2 linked regions of the Tamandua tetradactyla genome follow. The protein of the gene in region 1 interacts with the protein of each later gene in a pairwise test. Links are inferred from orthologs where the notes say so. Each region holds a gene or a part of one and is shown on either strand. Other genes may lie near its edges. The genes, in order: FLACC1 and SULT2B1.

Region 1 (11,193 bases):
CTTCCCTCCCCCTCCCCTAACCCTGTGCCCACTCTGTGCTCTCCATCATGGCTAGAAACCAGGAGGCAGCTGGTCATCGTGGAAATCACTCAGGGTTTGGAATCAGAAAGGTCTGAGTTTGAATCCTGGCTCTGCTACCTACCGGTAATTATCGCCACCTCTGTACTTCAGTTCCTCATAGGACAAAGGTGCCCTTCCCCAGTGCTTTGTGGTTTCCCAAGTGCAGCATAAGGTTTCCTGCATTATGGGCATGAGCTGTATCTTGATCAGTTTCGTTGCCCTGGGACGCTCTCCTCAGCCTGCCCAATGCAGTAATAAAAAAATTCTGCCCTGGGGTCTGGCCGAGCTGAGTTCAAGCCCTGGTTCTGTCATTTAGCAGCCACATATAATGTACAATGATAACAGCACCTCCTCAAAGGATCATTGCAAAGGCTCAAGGAGGCAAGTACATGCAAAGGTATGTGTAAAGCACATGTAAAAGCCCATGTTTGCATGTGGTTGGTGCTCAGGAAATGTTAGTTCCACTATTACTTTCCATTTTTACTCACATAAGGTAATTTATTGTTCTCCTCTTGTTTTCTTAAATGTGTTTTCATCCTGCAAGAGAAAAGCTTACTTAGAAAGCAACCAGAGAGCAAAGAGAGGTTCAGGGCTTAGGAGTTGCAAACCTTGATCCTGTCTTCATTCAACCCCGCCCTCTGAGCTCTGGCCACCCAGCCTTCTTGGGAAATCCCCAGGGTGGCTGGAAAATCCACTGAAGCAGGGCTCCCCGAGTGCTTCAAAGCTTGGACCCTTGTGAGAAGGTCTTGCCCAAGGAGACAGAAAAGTTGGTCTTCTGATATTGGGAGAACTTTTGGTTTTGGAAAGTCTCAGCCAGATAAAGGGGTTTTTATACACCCCCACACTGCAAGGCTCTATGAGTCAGGTGACACCCCCTCTCCCCCAACACATATACATTCAGCTCAGGGAACCATGTGTGTCACTCTTCATTGAAGAATACAGCATTTCTACGTAATGAAAAATATTCCTTTTTTCATTAACAGTAAGACACAAAAACATTGAATTTAAACTGTTTTCATTCAAATAGTCTATATATGCTATATCTAAATGACTAATGCATATCTAAAATGAATAACATATATATACTATTATTTTACTTTATACATATATATGAATATATATACACAGAGAGAAAGGTGGGATTATGATAGACTTATTGCTGATTTTATGGGAGCAATTATCTTAGTATTGTTTCACAGTTTCTGAAACTTAAAAATGCAAAAAGAGGAGTCAGCAGTTAATTTATTAATTAAAAGTTCATCTTTATCATTTTGTTTCCAGGGCATCACACTCCCCTGATTCTTCACCTACCTCTCTGCCCACTCCCTCTCTGCATCATTTCCTGACTCCTCTCATCTCCCTGAGCTCTAAGCACTGGAGTGCCCCATGGCTCAGAACTACCTGTCTCCATGCATTGCCTTTGACCGCTCACCTGGTCCCAGGACTCTAAGGATTATCTAGGTGTTGAGGACTCTCAAATGTATATCTGTAGCCAGTCCTCACTCCCATACTCCAGACTCATTTATCTGACTGCCTACTCCATATTGCCACTTGGATATTTAACGGGCATCTCAAACTTCCCATGGCCAACCCCTCACAGCCCCTCCAGAGGTCTTCCGCATCCCAGAAAAAGACAAATCCATCCTTCGAGTTGCTTAACCCAAACTCTTAAAGTCAGTTTTGACTCCTCTTTTTTTTTTTCTGATACTTTCCACCCATTCAATTGGCAGATCTGATAAGTTTCTGTCTTCAGAATATATCCAGAATGCAACCATTTCTCAGCACCTCTTCTGCTCCACCAGGTCTGATTACCATTATCTCTTGCTTGGATTCCTGCCATTGCCTCTTACCTGGTCTCTACTTCTACCCTTGCCCCCTACAGTCCATCTGCAACTCAGCAGCCAGATTAATCCTTTCAAAATCTCAGTCAGACCATGTCACTCTTCTCCTGAGACTCCTCAGATGGCCTTACATGCCTTTCAGAGTAACAAAGTCCTGACATTGACCTGCAAAGTCCCTCACTGAATTAGTTTCCAGGAACTTCTGTAAAAAGTCACCACAAACTTGGTGGCTTAAAACCACATTAATTTATTATCTTGCAATTCTGGAGATCAGAAATCTATAGAGTCTCATTGGGCTAATATCAAGGTGTTGACAGGGCTGTGCTCCCTCTGGGGTCTCTAGGAGCCATCTGTTCTCTTGCCTTTTCCGGTTTCTGGAGGCTGGCCCCCGTTGACCTTCAAAACCAGCCATCACATCGCTTTGACTCCAACCTCTCTTTCATTGTCACATCTCCTTCTCTGACTCTGACACTCCTACCTTCCTCGTTCACTTAGAAGGACCCTTGTGATTACACTGGGCCCAACCAGATTACTCAAGACAATCTCCCCATCTCAAGGTCCGTCGATTACAATCTTAATTCCATCTGCAATTTGGGCAAGTAGCACAGCATATTCACAGGTTCCAGGAATGAGGATTGGACTGTGTTGGGGGCCATGATTCATCGTCAACCACATTCATCATCTTTGTTACCTTCTCTGGGCTCCTCGCCACCTCTCTCTCCTCCTCCCTCCACTCTCACCACACTGGCCTCCTTGTGTCCCTGGAAAAGGGCAAGCAGGTGACACAAGCTCCCATTCAGGGCCTTTGTCCTTGCTGTCCCCCCTGCCAGGAGTGCTTCCTGGAGATACCTTCATGCCCCCCCCCCCCGTGTCCCCTTTACAAAGGAGACTTTCCCTGACCTCCTTAAGTAAAAGAACGACTCTCCCGACCCCCACCTTTCCTTAACGCGTTTGCTTTCATAATTTCTCTACATGGCACTTGCCAATCTTGGATATGTTCACTTGTTTTTCATCATCTTTCCCAATCCCCATTAAAAAGTAAGGTCCAGTAGAGCCAGAACATTGCTGGGTTCACTGATGTTTCCCCAACACCGCAACAGTGCCTACGAAATAACAGGTGCTCCATAAATAATTTCTAAATAATAAATAGATAAATTACAAAGAGTCATGCAAAGGCCTAAAACCATGTCACAGTTCTAATTTATACATTATAGTTCAAAGTTAAAGTCATGGTTATAAGCTTGTAAAAACTTTAAATTTTGAGTTAAAAAAGAAAATCAAAGGTGCAACCTACAGAAGACCTTAGACACAGGAAAGCAATCATCAAAAAGTCTATTTTTCAGGATTCTCCCTGAGGCTCTTTGCCTGTGACAGGCACTGGGCATTGTCCCCTTTTAGGCAGAACATAGCTTTGGAGGGCCTCTCAGCTGACAGCTCATTTGCAGTGACTTTGAAAACTATGGTACAAAGGAACACGGAATCTGCATGCAGGGTCTGAAGTTCTAGGAAAATCATGGTGGGTTCTGGCACGTGTCTGATAACAGTTAGTTTTAAGTCAGACAGAGCTATAAAGGCCAATGGGGACATTATTTTATCTACATGCCGCAAACCATTCCTGCCTCGTAGAAATAAAAATACTTACTTTGGATTCACAATAGGTTTTGATGTTGATTGGAAATTGCATTTTTTTGGAGCTGGCAGAAGAGGAGTTAGCCTGAAAGTGAAAAATAAATAATAAAAAGAAAAAAATGGAAATTCAGAAATCTGTCTTATTTTCTCAGATTAGGTGCATCCTCATGGTGTCCCTAAATTCTGAACCAATAATTGGGATATGTGACCTGACAACTGTAATCCTGGGTCTTGGGAAATCTCCAGCCCACGGCTTTAGCTCTTGTTCGCTGTCCCAGGGAGTCCCGAGGTTGGCAACACTGCTGGTCCCCCCGTCCTCAGAGTTCATCATCCCACATTGTGGGGTCAGCTACTGCCTAAGCCTTTCAGTTGGAAGCTGCGGTTCCCTGTTGTAGTGGCTCTGAAACTTCCTCACTTTTGTGGCACTTGGCCTGGGCAGGATGGACAAGTTCAATGGGCAGTCAGTAGGATTGCAGGGAAAGTTGTATAAAGATAGGTTTTCTGGCCCACTTGGGATTTTGCTGCCAAGTTCACTGTTTTGGAAATCTTGTAAGAGAAAGAAGGCTGCAAGTGGAACCCTAGCCCTCTTCCCCCTACCTCATGACAGGCAAACATTACTTGGACTTCCTTGAGGAGGGGGAGGTCTTGCTTGGTGGATGAGGGGTCTTGATTAGCTTCCGTGGTCCCAAGTTCCAAGGGTCCCAGCAGGTGCAGTAGATGAGAGGGTTGGGGTACATGGTCCAAGGTCAAGGGCAGTCTTGGCTGCTGGGTCAGGAGCCTCTTGCTAAAAATGGGGAAACAGCTGCAAGGATTAAACCGTTCAGAGCCAAAACAGCATTACTTAGAGACAAGCTGGGAAGGGCCCAGGGAAGGTACAAAGCACATAGTAGATTCCAGAAGCTGTTGATCTGGCTCAGGGTCTTGCCTATGGACCTCATTCCTTACCACCCAGTAGTCTTTATTTATAAGCAATTTAAGATTTGCCATAGTTGAGAGCTAACTGTGAGCCATGTACATAGCAAGTGATTAATTATTTTTACCCCCATTTTACAGATGAGGATACTGAGGCTCAATGAGGTCACAGGGTAACAAGTTGCAGAGCTGGGAAACAAGCACAAGTTTGTCTGACTCCTAAGTCCTTGCTCTTCAACCAAGCCATGCTAGTTCTCACTTAAGTGAAGAGATCCCCACTGTAGGTCCTGCTCAGACTTTTCTGGAAAATAAGCTCTGTGACTCAAACTACCGTCCAAGTCAATTCCCCAGATTCTCATTCCTGGTCACCTGCCTGAAGAGTCCAAACTTCCTCCCTGGCTATATAAAAACAAACAAAAGTCCCTGTTACGAAACTTTGTATGAAAGGCAAATATCAGATAAACAAGGAGTTTTGACCACACTTGTTTATCTTTCTTCTTGTCCAGAACTGCACTGTAGGTTTCTCTCAAAGAGGTTTAATCCACAAGAGCAAAGAGAACGGAAGAGGAGACTATGTTGCACAAGGGATGTCACGCATTTGACACAATAACTCCCTCACTTCACACACGTGGAGTTTAGCCTGCATGGCTGCAGAGAGGGTATGAATGAAAGACAACCAATATGTACCTCCAACACCCTGAAAAACTCAGGACATGGAACAGGTAGATTATCTGACGATACTAATAGGTATTTGACAGATCTGGTGAGGCATGTGGTGCATCAAATAAGGCCCCTCCAAAGAGGTTTCCTCGTCCTAATCCCTGGAAACTGCAAACATGTTACCTTACATGGCAAAAGGGATTTGTGCAGGGATTTTGCAGTTACTCTGCACAGCTCCCTCTTCTCAGACCTCTGGCCCAGCCCACTCCTGCACTTACCTCTATCTGCACACTCACTGGCTATTTTTTTATTTTTAATTTTTATTGACAAAACATAACAACATACAAACACGAACATTTGTAACATGAACATTCCATTCTTGGTACATAATCAATGACTCACAATATCATCACATAGTTGTATATTCATCACCATGATCATTTCGTAGAATATTTGCATCACTCCAGAAAAAGAAATAACAAGAAAAAACTCATACATACCATACCCCTTCCCCCATATATATACAGTTTTTTTTGTTTTGTTTTGCAAGGGGAGGCGCCAGGAATTGAACCTGGGTCTCTGGAATGCCAGGAGAGAACTCTGCCACTGCACCACCATTACCCACCCTACCCAATATATTTTAACATTTGTTCCCCCTATTTTTTTCTGTACCCCTTACCACTCCCTTTCATTGATCACTAGTATTTCAATCTACTCAATTTATTTTAACATTTGCTCCCCCTATTATTTATTTATTTTTAATCCACATGTTTTACTCATCTGTCTATACCATAGATAAAAGGAGCACCAGACACAAGGTTTTCACAATCACACGGTCACATTTCGAAAACTTTATCATTATACAATCATCTTCAAGAAACGTGGCTACTGGAACACAGCTCTACAGTTTCAGACACTTCCCTCTAGCCTATCTAATAAACCTTAAACTAAAAAGGGGATATCTATATAATGTTTAAGAATAGCCTCCAGGATAACCTCTCAACTCGTCTGAAATCTCTCAGCCACTGACACTTTATTTCATCTCATTTCTCTCTTTCCTCTTTCGGCTGAGAAGGTTTTCTCAATCCCTTGATGCTGAGTCCCAGCTCATTCTAGGATTTCTGTCCCACGTTACCAGGGAGGTTTATACCCCTGGGAGTCATGTCTCATATAGAGATGGGGAGGGCAGTGAGTTTTCTTACCCTGTTGGCTGAGAGAGTCCACATCTGAGCAATAAACGAGGTTCTCTGGGTGTGATTCTTAGGTCTAATTTTAAGTAGGCTTAGCCTATCATTTGCAGGGATAAATTTCATATGAACAACCCCCAAGACTGAGGGCTTGGCCTATTGATTTGGTTGTCCCCATTTCTTGCAAGTATATCAGGAATTCTCCAAATGGGGAAGTTGAGTTTTCTGCCTTTCTCGCCGTACCCTCAAGGGGACTTTGCAAATACTTCTTTATTCACTGTTCAAATCTCTCTGGGATTTATCAGGGCATCAAACTGGGCAAACCTATAAAATGTCATGCCCTATTCAAGGCTCCATGTACTTATGCATACCCACTTGCTTTTAAAGCCAGGCCTCTTGTCCTAGTGTCATGGCTCCCTCCACCCCCATTCTGTTGACAACTTTGCTGACTGCAGGCATCCCGAGGGCAAGGTCCAAGTGGCTTGCACAGAATAGGTTGTTGATAAACAAGTGTTGCCTGGCCAGTAATTAGGATGGTAGTTACCACAGGGACCAGCTCAATGAGGAGAAAAAGAGATCTACAGGTGAAACTACCAAAATACCGTGTCATCAAAATATTATAGATAGTGTTAACATTAGACTTAAAAAAACAGAATTCATGGGCAAATTATGATACAACCACTCAGTGGAGTTTTACCCAGCTTTTAAATAATTTATTTTAAAGTCTGTGGAAACATGAAAAACTCTTTGTGCAAAAAGATATGAAACGGTATGTAGGTAATGGATATGATTACTGTCAGACACGGGGTCATGTGGAAGGATTCCACACGAGACACCGAGTTAAAGATTAACAGATTTATTGAAGGAATAAAACAGAGAGGAAGTAGGTGGGAGAGCAAAAGGGAGAAAGCAGGTGGGAGCCTGAAATTGGCTCCCACCTGGGGAGACAGCAAGAAGAAAGAAAAAAATGGTTCCAGTTCTTTGATCTGGGAGCTGTTTTAAAGGGATAGTGATGCCAGGAGGGGAGGTACCCACTAGGTGGTGTGTTGTTTCCTGGTTGGATGGGGGCTTGTAACAGGTTATATCTGGATCCTTGGGCCTGCCAAGGATGCTGAGGAGACAGGTTGAAGGTGGGTCTTCATCAAGAGTTCCTTTTACTCTTAGAATTTTCTTTCTGAGACCTAACAATTACATAAGATTTTATTTCTATGTTGACAAGAGCTAGAAAAGAATACATTACATTGTCACCAATGCAGTAGGGCCTCAAAAATCAGTAACCCAGGCTAGGAATGTTTTGAATCCTAGAGGCATTTTGTATATAGAAATTTTTATTTCTGCCTTTTAAAAAAAATTTATTTATTTACTAATTAAAAAAATTTAACAACAAACGAACTAAAACATTAACATGTGATCATTCCGTTCTACATATATAATCAGTAATTCACAATATCATCACTTAGTTGCATATTCCTCATTTCTTAGAACATTTGCATCAATTCAGAAAAAGAAATAAAAAGACAATAGAAAAAGAAATAAAATGAAAACAAAAAAAAAAAGATTATACATACCATACCCCTTACGCCTCGCTTTCATTGATCACTAGCATTTCAAACTAAATTTATTTTAACATTTGTTCCCCCTATTATTTATTTTTATTCCATATGCTCTACTCATCTGTTGACAAGGTAGATAAAAGGAGAATCAGACACAAGGTTTTCACAATCACACAGTCACATTGTGAAAGCTATATCATTATACAGTCATCTTCAAGAAACATGCCTACTGGAACCCAGCTCTACATTTTCAGGCAGTTCCCTCCAGCCTCTCCATTACATCTTGACTAACAAGGTGATATCTACTTAATGCATAAGAATAACCTCCAGGGTAACCTCTCGACTCTGTTTGGAGTCTCTCAGCCATTGACACTTTGTCTCATTTCACTCTTCCCCCTTTTCGTAGAGAGGGTTTTCTCAATCCCTTGATGCTGAGTCTCAGCTCATTCTAGGGTTTTTCTCAATCCCTTGATGCTGAGTCTCAGCTCATTCTAGGATTTCTGTCCCATGTTGCCAGGAAGGTCCACACCCATGGGAGTCATGTCCCATGTAGACAGGGGGAGGGTGGTGAGTTTGCTTGTTGTGTTGGCTGGAGAGAGAGGCCACATCTGAGCAACAAAAGAGGCTCTCTTGGGGGTGACTCTTAGGCCTAAATTTTAAGTAGACTTGACCTATCCTTTGTGGGGTTAAGTTTCATATGAACAACCCCCAAGACTGGGGGCTCAGCCTATAGCTTTGGTTGTCCACACTGCTTGTGAGAATATCAAGAATTCAACTTGGGGAAGTTGAATTTCTCCCCATTCTCCCCATTCCCTGAAGGGGGCTTTGCAAATATTTTTCCACTCACTGATCAAATCACTCTGGAATTCATCGGGGCATCACTCTGGACAAACCAACAAAATCTCATATCCTATTCAAGGTTCCAGGTACTTATGGTGTTCAATCAAGCTATCTACATAAGTTATATTAGGAAATGCACTAGTCAAAATATAAATTTTGTACCAAATAAACATTTTTTGCTTTAGTCTCATACATAAGTCGAAATTTTAAAATATTAATTATCATCTATTTTCAGCACCCTTCAGTAATGACATTCCTTTGTTCTTCCTCATGCAGAAACATATTTAAAATTTGTACATTTAGTTACTATTATTATACACTCTAGGCATTCCTAGATTATACCATTTCAATCTTTAATGTCTATCTTTCTGATTTCATTTATTTATTTCTGCCTTTTTTTTGAAAGTAGGTTTATTGTTGTTTGTGTGTGTGTTAAACTGAAATAGGATCATTGTAAAGAAAATTGTATCATAGAAAGCATAAGAAAGTAAAATTATCCAAAATACTAACACCACTGAACATATTTTGATTGATATATTCTAGAGTTCTCCCTAGTCTAAAGAGACATATTTATATAATTTTATAGAACGAATTATACACAATAGTTGTAATAATATAATTATTAATAATCTTAAGGATTTATATAACTTTCCATAAGTGAAAACCATACTCATATCCTAGATATGCTTTTTTACAATATGTCATGAGCTTTTTAAAATGTCAGCAATTATAGATCTGTAACATCATTTGTTCGACTTTACTATGGATAAATTTAAAAATGAACAAAAGCAGAAAAGAAAAGTATAATGAACTCACCTGTCACCTGGCTTCAATAATTAGCAACTCATGTTTAATCAACTTATGTTGATAGCTTGATTGAATACCATAAGTACTTGGAACCTTGGGTAGGACATGAGATTTTGTTGGTTTGTCCAGAGTGATGCCCTGATGAATTCCAGAGTGATTTGATCAGTGAGCAGAAAAGTATTTGTAAAGTCCCCTTCGGGGAATAGTGAGAACCGGGAGAAATTCAACTTCCCCAAGTTGAATTCTTGATATTCTCACAAGCGGTATGGATAACCAAAGCTATAGTCTGAGCCCCCAGTCTTGGGGGTTGTTCATATGAAACTTAACCCCGCAAAGGATAGGTCAAGTCCACTTCACTCCTCCAACACCAGTCTATTTTAAAGTAAACCTCAGACTTCATATGGTTTCTGTATCATCATGGCTATGTAGATTTCTATTCTATAAATGTACTTTATTTTATATTTTTAATCATTTCTTACTGGTGAACATTTGGTTTTTTTTTTTTTTTCTTCTCCTATAACAAATAATGCTTTGGTGGCTAACCTCTTTTGCTCTTAAAAAGTAAGGCCTCTCCCTCTAAATATCCATTGGGATGATAGTAAAAACATTTAACAACCAGCTAGACAAAGCCACAGAACAGTCAGACTAGGTTTGGGGACTGTGGGGCTGGAACAGCGTCTGGGAGGACTTTTCTCCCACCTCCATGGCAGACATTAACTCCTTAGTTGCTTAATCATGAGGTGCTTTGGGGGTGCTGGGGGAGGAGTTGGGGCAACCAAGATGACAGGGAGGACATGTGAGGGGCTTTGGGAGTGGTCATTTCAAGAACTGTGCATAGCAGCTAAACATCAGCCTGTGACTTCCAGTACCCTCCCAGGAAGGAACCACTGTTAACAGGTTTTTGGATTATCCATCCAGGTATGTATGTATGCATGTCTATATATACTTCTTAAAATGAACACAAATGACAGCATACTTTTCAGATTATGCTATGCCTTGCTTTTCTTCACACAACAGTCTATTTAGTAGATATTTCTAGTGCAGCTGGATCTACTACATTCACAGTGGTCTGATGTATTGCCTCTAAGAATATAGGTGTTTTTAAATTTTTTTTTTTAAGAATTCTTTCTCCCTCTCCTTTTCCTGCATCTCTCTCTAATAATTTTACCTGAGACGCAGCGGGCTGAATGCGCCAATTGGTGAAACTACAGTCACCAGTGAGCCAGGGCAGGCTCCACGGAGGTCACTGGTTAGAACTGATAACCAGCAGAAAAAAATTGCTGAAGACATCTTTTCCAAAGAGCTTACCTTGGACTGCTAATGGTCTTAAAGAAACTACACCGTTACAGAGAAACTCTTCCCCATCGACACGAAGTCAGGGTTCACTTTAGTTCAAATCAACAGGTTCCAGAATTCAAGACTTGAGCTGTCATTACACAATCGATTGAAATGCTAACGCAGAAATTCCACAGTCAGCGCAGAGACAGCCTTGCAGGGAATCCAATTAAAAGCTATTAAAAGACTGAACTGACACAGAAGTGAATTTCCCTTCTAAACACAATCCAGTTTGTGTCTCTCAGTATTGCAGTGAAAAGTTAAACTAGAGGAGGAAGTCGCCTCTCCAGCTCCCTTGACTTGGGCCCTGAGCTGTGGTTTGTCCTTGGGAGACGGAAGGCAAAGGTTTGTTTATCTGATTGCTATGGA
Region 2 (10,401 bases), on another chromosome or scaffold:
TAGCAGCCATGTTAAGAACAAAAAAGTAAAGAAGTAAAATAAACAGGTGACATTAACTTTTTTTTTTTGGCTTGGAAAACTCAATGTTGCCGGGTTTTTAAATTTACTTTTTAGAGCTATAGTAGATGTACAGAAGTCATGCCTGAAATTCACTTTAGATTTATATTTTATTCCCCCCAACATAGCCGAAATATTGTCATTTCAACAGGTAATCGATACCAAAAAAAGTACTATTAATGAGCTATTTTACATTTTGTGTGTATGTGTGTGTGTGCCCCATTAAGCCTTTGAAGTCTGGCGTGTGTTTATTCAATTCAGACGCTGGCTTTTCATCAGAAACACTCGATCTGCATTTAGATCTCATCAACTTTACAGTTGAAAACCCAGGTTGTTCTAGCCTTGCTTAAATGGTTTCCGACAACTGACTTGAGCATGCTCGTTTAGATTCACAGGAATAACAAGGAAATAAAATGAGAGATTAGGTTCCCCGGGCTCCCTCGCCCCGTTTTAAGCGCTCAGCAGCCACACGTGGCGGGCGGCCTCGCCTGGGACCGCACAGGATAGATGCATTTCCATCACCGCATCATCTTCTGGAGACAACCGTGAGTGTCCCAAGGGCCAGAGGAGGCACATAGTAGGAGCTTAATAGATGTATGTTGGAAGGAGAGACGGCGAGGGCGGGGAGAGAGAAGAGAAAGAGAATAGAGAGAAATGAAAGACAGAGGAGTTGAGAGCCTCCAGGCAAAAGGCACAGTGGGCTCAGCGGCTCAGTGGTGTGGTGGAGCATGGAGGATTTAGGGAACAAGTCGAACTTGACAGTGAGAACAGAACAACACTGGCTGCCCTGGCAGAGCAGCTGATGCTGTGTGACGCTGTGCTGAGGTGGGGAGTGGAGGTGGGGCAGTGCAGACTGACAGGGATGTGCAGTGAGCCTGATGGGGTTTAAGGGACAGAGCCCAGGACCTCAAACCCAAAGTGTGTCATCCACGGGGTGGGTGTGGTGGGTGAGACACTCCATGGCTCAAAGCCTCAGTCTCCCCCTCTCTAAAATGGGCTGATAAGTACCTCCCTTAGCAGGCTGCATGTGAATCACATCCTATAACACCCTGCAAAGCCCAGCATCTACCGGAGGGGCAACGCCTCCTTTTAAACCAAGCTCCTGCCCTCAAGGAGCTCACAGCCCAGCAAAGTCACAAGACAATGAGTGCAGAAGCTCATTAGGAATGAAGCCCTTGGAGAATTTGCAGAGAGTAATTAGCTTATTTAGCTAGATTTCTTTGAGTTTCATTATTAGGAAAGTCATACATCAAAGTGATATATATCTCAACTGGGTTCTTTTGGCAAACCCATTTTAGAATTGCTATAGATATAGGTGTTTACACGTGCAAGAACTGCCAAGGGAAAAAATGGGGAGGAGGAACTTGCCCTCTTGTTATTAAAACTGACATAAAAGTACTATAATGAAAACAGCATGACACCTACTGTATGATCCAGCAATTCCATTACTAGTTATTTATCCTAGAAAAATGAGAACATATGTCCACACAAGGACTCGTCCAGGAACAATCACAATGTTTTGTTTTAAAAACCTGGAAACAGCTCAAGTGTCTATTAACAAAGGGGATGGATATGTACACTATGGTTTATTTAGGCAATGGACTACTACTCAGCCATAAAAAGGAACAGACTGCTGTATACACGCAAACATGAATTAATATAATATAATATAATATAATAGGATATGATATATGAGAATATGCCCCTAGGAGTTAAATAGTCCTGTGACAGGAGGAAGCTGACATTTAAGGAGGCTATATGAGTGGCCTGAGGTCAGACCCATGTCTTTTATCTTCCTACCTTCTCCCCTCACTCATCCGCATTTCTGGAACCACTCACATCCCCTGCACTGAAGGAACACACTCCCAAAGGCACTTCATGCCAGAACAAACAGAGGCTCAGAGAGGTAAATACAGTTCCCTTAGGTCACGTAGCAGCCAGAATGATGAAAGGTTCAAACTCTGGAGCCATACTGTCTGGGTTCAAATCCCAGCCCTGCCCTTTGCCGTAGTGCAACACTGGCCACGTGACTCTACCTCTCTGTGCTTCCCTTTCCTACTTGTGCAAAGGGAGGGTAACCCCACCGGCCTCAGAATAAATGGGTTTAGGTCCATTACCCAGTTGGTGAACGCCAGGGATCGTTATTAGCGTGATCTGTATTCCTTTAGCAAATACTGATTTTTTGAAGTTCTCCCTGAAGGCCATCCTGTGGGGGCTACTTCAAATAGATCAGCAAATTGGACACACTAAACAAACTATCAGACAAAAAAGAACCCTGGGTTCATAGAGATTACATGCAAACAGGGAAAACAATGCATAATCAAGGTAATATTTTAAATTTCAGAGAAGCTGAGACGGGGACAAGTGGGAAGGGAAAAACAGGGCAGGGCCAGTGGGCTAGGGTTGGGGGCCATCGGTTAAGGAAGTCTGCATTTATGAGCTGAGATGTGATCTGGGTCTTGACCGTGGAGACGCTGGCAGAGAGAGGAGGCGGGAAAGGCATTCCTGGCAGAGGAAGAGCGTGTGCAAAGGCTCAGAAGTATGGAAATGCTCGGAGAAATGGGTGTGACTACAGCCATCTGGGAAGAAATGAGGCCAGATGAGCAGGCAGATCTAGGTTAAATGGGGCCTTAAGTGCTGGGCTGAGGGGCACTGGGGAGAAGGGGAGGGGCAGGGGCAGTTGGGGACTGGACTGGAAGCAGGGAGGCTGGGGTGGAGGCTGGACCGAGGGTGTGAGTGAGAGAAGGTGACCTGAGCTGGGCCAGGGCCATGGGGGATGGAGAGGAGGGGCCGAATGTTTTCTGGAGGAAGGCAGGGGAGGATTGAGATGCTGCTATGCAGTTTTTAAGAGTCCTACATGTCCTGGGGTCTTTAGTAGACCCCTTCACATCAGCTGCAGCTTTGTCAGCTGACCCTGCCATCAGGTCCTCCTTCTCTGACCCAGCTCAATCATCACCTTCATTCCTCCGCATAAATTCAGCGACAGCCCTATAGCCCACATGCCAGGCTGAGGACGTGGCCTGGGAACAAAACAAGCTTGTGACCCCGGGAGAGGGAAGGCCACCCTGGGGGCAGATTTGATTTACGAGGTGGGGACAGGAGGTGCACCACGCCTGCCTTAGGACACAGGCAAGCAGGAATCCAGCTGGAGGCCTCCCTGCTTGGCGTGGGGAGCAGGAGGGCCTGCATTCCTGGCAAAAAGAACTACAGGTACCAAGGCCCAGAGATGCGAAGAGGGCGCCATGACTGGGGGCTGGGGCTGAGACGTGGGGTACATGGGGCAGGTGAGACAGAAACTGCCTGAGGGCTGAGCCTGCCCCAGGAACCAGGGTTCATATCCCAACTCTGCCCTGCACTGGCTTCATAGCCAGAACTTCCATTTTCTTGTCCTTAGCATCGTAACCTGCAAGGAAATCCCCAGATTTACCCTGTTCATGCCACAGCAATTATTGATTGAGCAGCTAGCCATGGTGGGCAGGCTGTTCTGGGCTCAGAGAGTGTAGTGGTGAGGGTCGACTGCTGCAGGTCTGGGGTGTCCAGACTTTGGGAGCTTTTAAAGGCCCCTTAGGGGATTCTGGTCTTTGGGAGTCTTTAAATCCCCTTCAGGAGATTCTAAAGTACAGTGTGGACTAAGGACCACCGAGGCAGATGTAAGGACCTACAACAGGTGCTCTTTGCCTGTCTCTTGTCCTGGTCCCTGTCACAGGCTCACGCATGCGTGCCTTCATTCATTCCCTTACATACTGGGTGAGCACCAACAAAGTCCCAACACTCCACATTCCACCCTGGCCTCCTGGGCCAGGTCTGGATGGCCAATTAGGAGACAGTAAGTGCCAAGAGTGGGTGGCAGGAAGAGGGGGCGCTCTCCTATTCATTCATTTATTCACTCAGTGAATATCTCAGGGACTCCTGAAGGACACGGCCCTGGATCTTTCCCATTTGGTGGCTCCATTTTCCTTTTCTGTAAGACTGGAAGGAAGCTGCTCCCTCAAGCAGCTGTTGGCCAGACCAAAGACTAAAATATAACCGTAAAAGGAGCTTCCGTTTCCTGAGCCCAGTGCTTAAAATATATTTTCCCTTTTAATCCTCAGGTAGGATTAAAACCATGAGGTATAGATTACCATCATCCCCAGGGACAAATGAGGAAACTGAGGCTCAAAGTGGTGGATGCACTGCCCGAGGGTGGAAATGGTACGTGTGACCCACAGACTCGGAGCTACAAATCTGCCTGGTAACTGATGATCTCACAGCTCTCCCCCACTGGGCTAAACCTGCCTGGTAACCAGTGACATCACGAATTCTACCACCGCTACCGATGGGTAACTGGTTACATCATCAAACAATTACAGTAATTACCACTTCCTGTGTGCAGAGGCTGTGCCAAGAACCTCTTCTGAGCCCACGTGATGCCCAGCGTTGCCTCTATTATTGCATATAATAACAACAATAATAATTTTAGCCTAGATGTATTGAATGTAGATTACAAACCCGGTGCTATTTTAACCATTTTTATTTTTAAATTTAGCAGATATTTATATAGTGCTTATTCTGTGCCAGGCATAGTTTGAGCATTTAACTGCTGAACACGACCCTATGAGGTAAAGAACGTTATTATCCCGTTTTTATGGGTAAGGAAACTGAGGCACAGTCACACAGCTGGTGGGATTTAGGATTCAAGCCTATGTAGTCTGGCTTTCTAGAATTTGTGCTGAGAACATGACACTGTATCACCTCTCTTACCCCCTATTTTACAATTGAGAAACTGAGGCACAGAGAGATTAAAAGGCCCTCCGCTCGGCTGGAAAATGGCAAAGTCAGACTCGGAGCTGGCAACGAGCTCTTACCAGTCTGGGTACTGGGAAGTAGGACCCACAAAGCCTGTATCAGTCTGGGTACTAGGAAGTAGGACCCACAAAGTTCCCCATGCAGCAACCAGCTCTTCTTGCCCTCTCCAGAGCAAACCCCAGGGAGGAAGGGGGCCAGTGCACCCAGAATCCCCCACAGACGCCCTCCCAGCCCCTCTCAGGGCCCTGCCCTTTGGGAACTCCGGCAGACTGGGCTGAACCTTCCGGTTCCGCAGAGCTCTCCTGCGACCCCAGGCAAGGGCACAGATCTCTGGCCTACATCCCTCAGCACCAGGTCTCATGGAAACTCTTCCCTATCCCTCAAATCGCTGACGCCAATGGAGGGCTTCAGCAAAGACAATGGTGCCCCCAGCGCAAGCTGCAGCCCTCTATGGACCGCAGGTTCCTCATGACGTCAACTGAGCAGTTGAGGAGAAACTAAAGGAAAAGGTCTTTGTAAGCCAGCAGAATTTTCAACTTCTTCCACCCCAACATTCGGCCTCCTTTTTAAGAACATTTTTGTTTTCATGGAGAGAGACTTTTTTTCCTTTAACGTTTTAGTCATTCATTCATTTAATATTTTATTAACATAAAACTCACAAGAGTACCACCACAGAGGTGTGCAAAACGGGCACCCACCCACCGCCTTGTACCCAACCCCCAAGGAGTCCCCTCCCGTCCCCACCCTGTCCCGGCCCTCCCACCAAGGGGAACCAGATCTGGCTTTCTAACCCCAGAAATCACTTTTCCCTGTTTCTGAATTTCTGTGGGCTATTGCGCGTCCCCCGCCCTTCACTCAGCGTTATGCTCGAGCTTCTGGGCGGTCAGACCAACACTCCCCTGATAAAACAATTATTTGTAACATTCTCTTCACTACCCCAAAATGGAACTTCTTAGTAATGTTATGCTATATCCTTTCAATATAACCAACACACACATATAGTTTTGAAATTTCAGTCTATCTTCTTATAAAGGGACGCAAATGAAAAATAGCACAGAGTAGTTACCATGGGGCAGACCCGCTGTGAGGGCCAGTTTAGACCGTTTAGAAGAAAAAACAGTTGCGACTGCAAAATTAGGTAGAGGAAATGTTTGTCTGGAACGTGAAAGAAATCACAGCAACCTGCCACATGGTGGAGGCAGTCTGCTATGTTCTGAAATATACGAACATTCTAGAAAAATAGCTCAGACTACCTTCCGGCTCTAGACCCTGGCGGCGCCGGCAGCCTTGAGACACGAAACATCGCGATACTACTCCCGTAATTCGCGATACCACAGCATAACATCACGACACAACCGCCGTAATATCGCGATACAGCTTATGTCCCTGCGCCTTTACGTCGTGGCGGCCGTCTGCACGCATCCGGGCCCGGGTCACCCAAACAGTACCCCCGACGTGCCTGCGAAGCTCATCAGTGTCACACTAAAGCTAGACGCAATGTACTCCCAATCCAACTCCCGTTAGCCCTATCCCCAAAATACTCATCGCCTCCCACGCCACGGTATACGAGATTCTGGGGAGGTTGGAATGGCGGGAGGCGGCAGACGTCCTCGATTGCTCTGAGGCTGTCTCACCTTTGAAAATTGTGACTGAAGCGTCTGGCCACGTGAACACATTGCTGGATGGGGCTGAGGGTTGGAAAAGCAGCTCGAGTGTGAGAGGCTCAAAGCTGAAGGCGTTCTTTAGCGTGGCGATGACTCTGCCCGTGGTTTCCTACGCGGGCACTGCCCCTCAGCAGCCGGGTGGGGGTGAGAAGGGGCCCTCGTTGGGTAAAATGGGGTGGCGACTGAACATCCGCCTTCCAGGATTGGGGGGAAGCATAAAATGTATGGAAAGCGTTAAGCACCGGGCACCGTTGCCACCACCATTTTGCAGAAGAAGAAACGAGGCTGAGCCTAAGTTCCTCCGCAAGGTTGCATTGGCCAGGGGCATCGCCCCCTGGGGCCCCCTCCTTGCTCACCTCTCACGCCAATCCTGAGATTTCTCTGCCACTTTCTGACGTGAGTCTGGGAGGCCTCAGCTGTACAACTTAACCCTCCATGCAGACTCCGGGGACCTTGGTCTCACACCCTCGCAGGCCCCCGGGCGACCTTTGCCCTTCTCTTCCTACCTTCTTATCCTCATGGTGTCTCCCCTGCCTTCTTATACAGCCAGAAGCTGCAAGGCGAATACTTCAGGTACAAGGGTATCCCCTTCCCCGTCGGCATCTACTCCTCTGAGAGCATCAGCATCGCAGAGAACGCCCGCGATGTGCGGGACGACGACACCTTCATCGTCACCTACCCCAAGTCAGGTACATTTGGGGCCTGGAGAGTGGAAGAATGGGGATGGGACATCCGGGGAGAAGGGAGAGCAAACAGCCAGGGGGGTGGATCTTGACTCTGTCTGGCCCCTCAGCCACTTGCGCCCTTTCCCTGAGTCATCCACATGGCCTTCTCCCACTCTTCCTCCCGGTCTGAGAGAGGCCTTCCCGGCCCTCCCTAGCTAAGACAGTTCTCCCATCCTGCCTCCTGTCCCTTTCCATCCCCTTTACCTACCCTTCTTCATGACATTTATCATTATCTGGCACCTATCATATTTCTATTTATTTATTCCCCACAAGAAGGTGAGATCTGTGGTTGCTGATATTTTAGTCTACCTTGTTCACTGCTGTGTTCCTAGAGCCAGCAACTGTGCCTGGCACATAATAAGCGGTTAATAAATATTTGTGGGAGGGAGGAAGAATGGAAGAGTGGATGAAAGGAAGATAGGCAAGAAAGAAGGAAGGGAGGCTCTTTCCTCCATTTGCTCATTGACATGCTATTTATTGGTCACTTGTCATGGAGACACACTTCTGAACAAGAAAGACGGTTGTCGGTTAGGAAAGACAGGCTTTATTTAAATGCACAGTCACCTATATTACTATATAATTAGGAGTCAGAATGAGTCCCACCAAGGAAGGGTGCAGGAAGCATTGAAGGTAGGGAGCAGGGGGAGGCAAAACCAACCTGGTCTGGGGGATCAGGGAGGCTTCCTGGGAGGCTTGTTCACACTAGGACATGGAAGATGCAGAAGGGTCTGGGTGGTGCTGAGGAGGACCCTAGGAAGGAAGTCCTAGACAGAGGACCAGCACGTGCAAAGGCCCTGAGGTGGGAGAGGGCATGGTGAATTGGAGGGACAAGAGAAGGTGAGTGAGGTTGGGATGGAGTGAATGATGAGAAAGGCTGGAGGGGGTGTGGGTAGATGCTAAGGTGAAGGTCTGTGATGACCAAACAATGGGGACCTGTTGGAAGGCTTTAGTCAGAGAAGAGACAGACTTTGGCTTTTGTTTTTTTTCTCTCAGTTGATGGAGTTAACTTGTTTGACTTTTTTTTTTTCCAAAATATTTTTTTTGATAAATTTCAAAATACTGCATTCATCCTTGTGTACAGAGTTCATGAGGGGTTTTGTATAATATTTTATCAAGATATTATTCACACACTGTACAATTCACCCATTCAAAGTGTACAGTCCACTGGCTTTAGGATATTCACAGGTTGTGCAGCCATCACCACAATCCATTTTCGATCACTTTCATAAGCACCAAAAGAAACCCCATGACCTTTAGCCTTCACCCTCTGATCCCTCCCATACCTCCAAGACCTAAGCAACCACTGATCTACTTTTTGTCTCTCTAGAGACATTCATAGCTCCAAATTTCATAGGAACAAAAAGTTTACAATGAGAGATCTCTTTCTACCCACAGTCACTGGTATTGCCCTGTGTATCCTTCCAAACTTGCAGAGATGAGCAAAAATGTACGTATTTCTTACTTTTGTCCAGAGACATTAACATATGTGCCATTCCACATCTTGATGTTGTTTATGCTTTTCTCCTTTTCTTTTTTTTTTTTTTTTTTTTAAAGAGAGAGGGAGGAAAGGAAGGAAAGACAGAGAAGGAAGGAAGGATGGAAGGAAGGAAGGGAGGAAGAAAGGGAAACATTTTTAAACATTTTCTTGTTTTATTATATTTTGTTTGTTTGTTTGTTTTTTTACATGGGCTGGGGCCGGGAATCGAACCGGGGTCCTCCGGCACGGCAGGCAAGCACTCTTGCCCGCTGAGCCACCGCGGCCCGCCCTCTCCTTTTCTTTAATTTCTTTTTCTTACACCTTGATATCATCCCCTTAGAACTTTAAACAAAGAGCTTTCTCTTTTTTTACAGCTCTGCAGTATTCCAGAATGTGGATGTGCAATAATACTTGTTTAACACATTCCTTACTGATTGATATTTAGAGTTTTCCAAACTTTTGTCTTTATCAGCAGTACTGTGCTGAGTAACCTTATACATACATTATTTGCATCTGTTTGTATCAATAGGTAAGATAAATTCCTCCGTGTAGAATTATGTGATTGGAAGTTCTGTGCATTTGTAATTTTGATGGAGTTAGTATCCCTACTTAGATACAGAAGTTTGTTCTCCCAACTACAGGGTCTGAGGGGGCCTGTTTCTCATACCACAGCCAACATCATGAATCAGGCTTTTAAATGTTTGCCAAACTGGTCCGTGAAAAAATGGAATGTCAGTGTGGTTTTAATTTGCATTTCCATTGTTATTAGTCTAGTTGAGCATATTTTTAGATTTGTAAAGAACTATATATTTCCCTTTCTATGATTGATCTATTCTTATCTGTGGTCCGTTTTTTTTTTTTTTTCTCTGTTGAGTTGTTGGCTTTTTGTTTGCGTTGTAGGAGCTCTTTTCTATTAACAAACCTAACCCTTGTGTGCATTATGAATTATGCATGTTTCCCTACTTAGATGGTCATTTGTCTTTTGACTTTGTTCATAATAGGTTTTTCCATTCAGATTTATTCTGAAATTATGCAGTCAAATGTATTTGGCTTTTTAGGTTGCTTTGTAATTTGAGGTCTCTTTGAACTCATGGTTCGTCATTCTATGATTGGGATTTTAATGGCATGGACTCTGGTCGTTGGGGGATTAACATAGGGTCAGATCTGTGGTGATGCTTCAAGCCTATCAAGACAGTATTCCATGGAGAAACCTGTGTTCCAAAAGTTATTCACAGCTGGGTTTAAATCCTTAGTGCTCCCTCAGGAAGTATGGAAAAGACCTGTAATGTCTCCAGACCCCTGATTTCCTCATCTCTGACATAGAAGGTACTAACAGGACCTTCCTATATTAGTTAAAGTTACAGGTTGAGCTACTATAACAAATAGACCCAAAGAAGTAAGCTTATTTCTCCCTCCCTTGACAGTCCTGAGGTAGGTGGGCTATACAGGTAGACTCGTTTCCAAGCGGTCACGTAGGAGGCAGCCTCCTTCTGGCTTGCTGGCCTCTGCTAGGTACTCCCCTTGGTACTGACACTGTCTCCATAATGCTGCCAGCAGTAAAGGGAAGAGAGTGGTGGGGGGAGCGTGCCTTTCAAAGGCACGACCCACAGGTGCATTTATCACTTCCGCTCACATCTCATGGGCCAGAGCTTAGTCACGTGATCTCACTGGGCTGCAGAGGAGACTGGGAGAT

Evidence for each region.
Region 2: the proteins of FLACC1 (region 1) and SULT2B1 interact in binary tests that used the Homo sapiens proteins (3 or more experiments, as listed by UniProt). The two-hybrid records come from large-scale screens. The link is inferred for Tamandua tetradactyla from reciprocal best matches to the Homo sapiens genes FLACC1 and SULT2B1.

Annotation. Positions count from the first base shown.
Region 1 is NC_135329.1:175,868,042-175,879,234, forward strand, and holds the start of FLACC1 (flagellum-associated coiled-coil domain-containing protein 1), read right to left. Parts: upstream 4,093-11,193; 5' UTR 3,862-4,092; coding exon 3,740-3,861; intron 3,616-3,739; coding exon 3,544-3,615; intron 1,046-3,543; exon of another isoform or gene 598-1,045; coding exon 549-597; exon of another isoform or gene 1-548.
Region 2 is NC_135342.1:12,463,643-12,474,043, reverse strand, and holds the start of SULT2B1 (sulfotransferase 2B1), read left to right. Parts: upstream 1-6,203; 5' UTR 6,204-6,222; coding exon 6,223-6,341; intron 6,342-7,052; coding exon 7,053-7,195; intron 7,196-10,401. UniProt on the Homo sapiens protein: Sulfotransferase that utilizes 3'-phospho-5'-adenylyl sulfate (PAPS) as sulfonate donor to catalyze the sulfate conjugation. Responsible for the sulfation of cholesterol.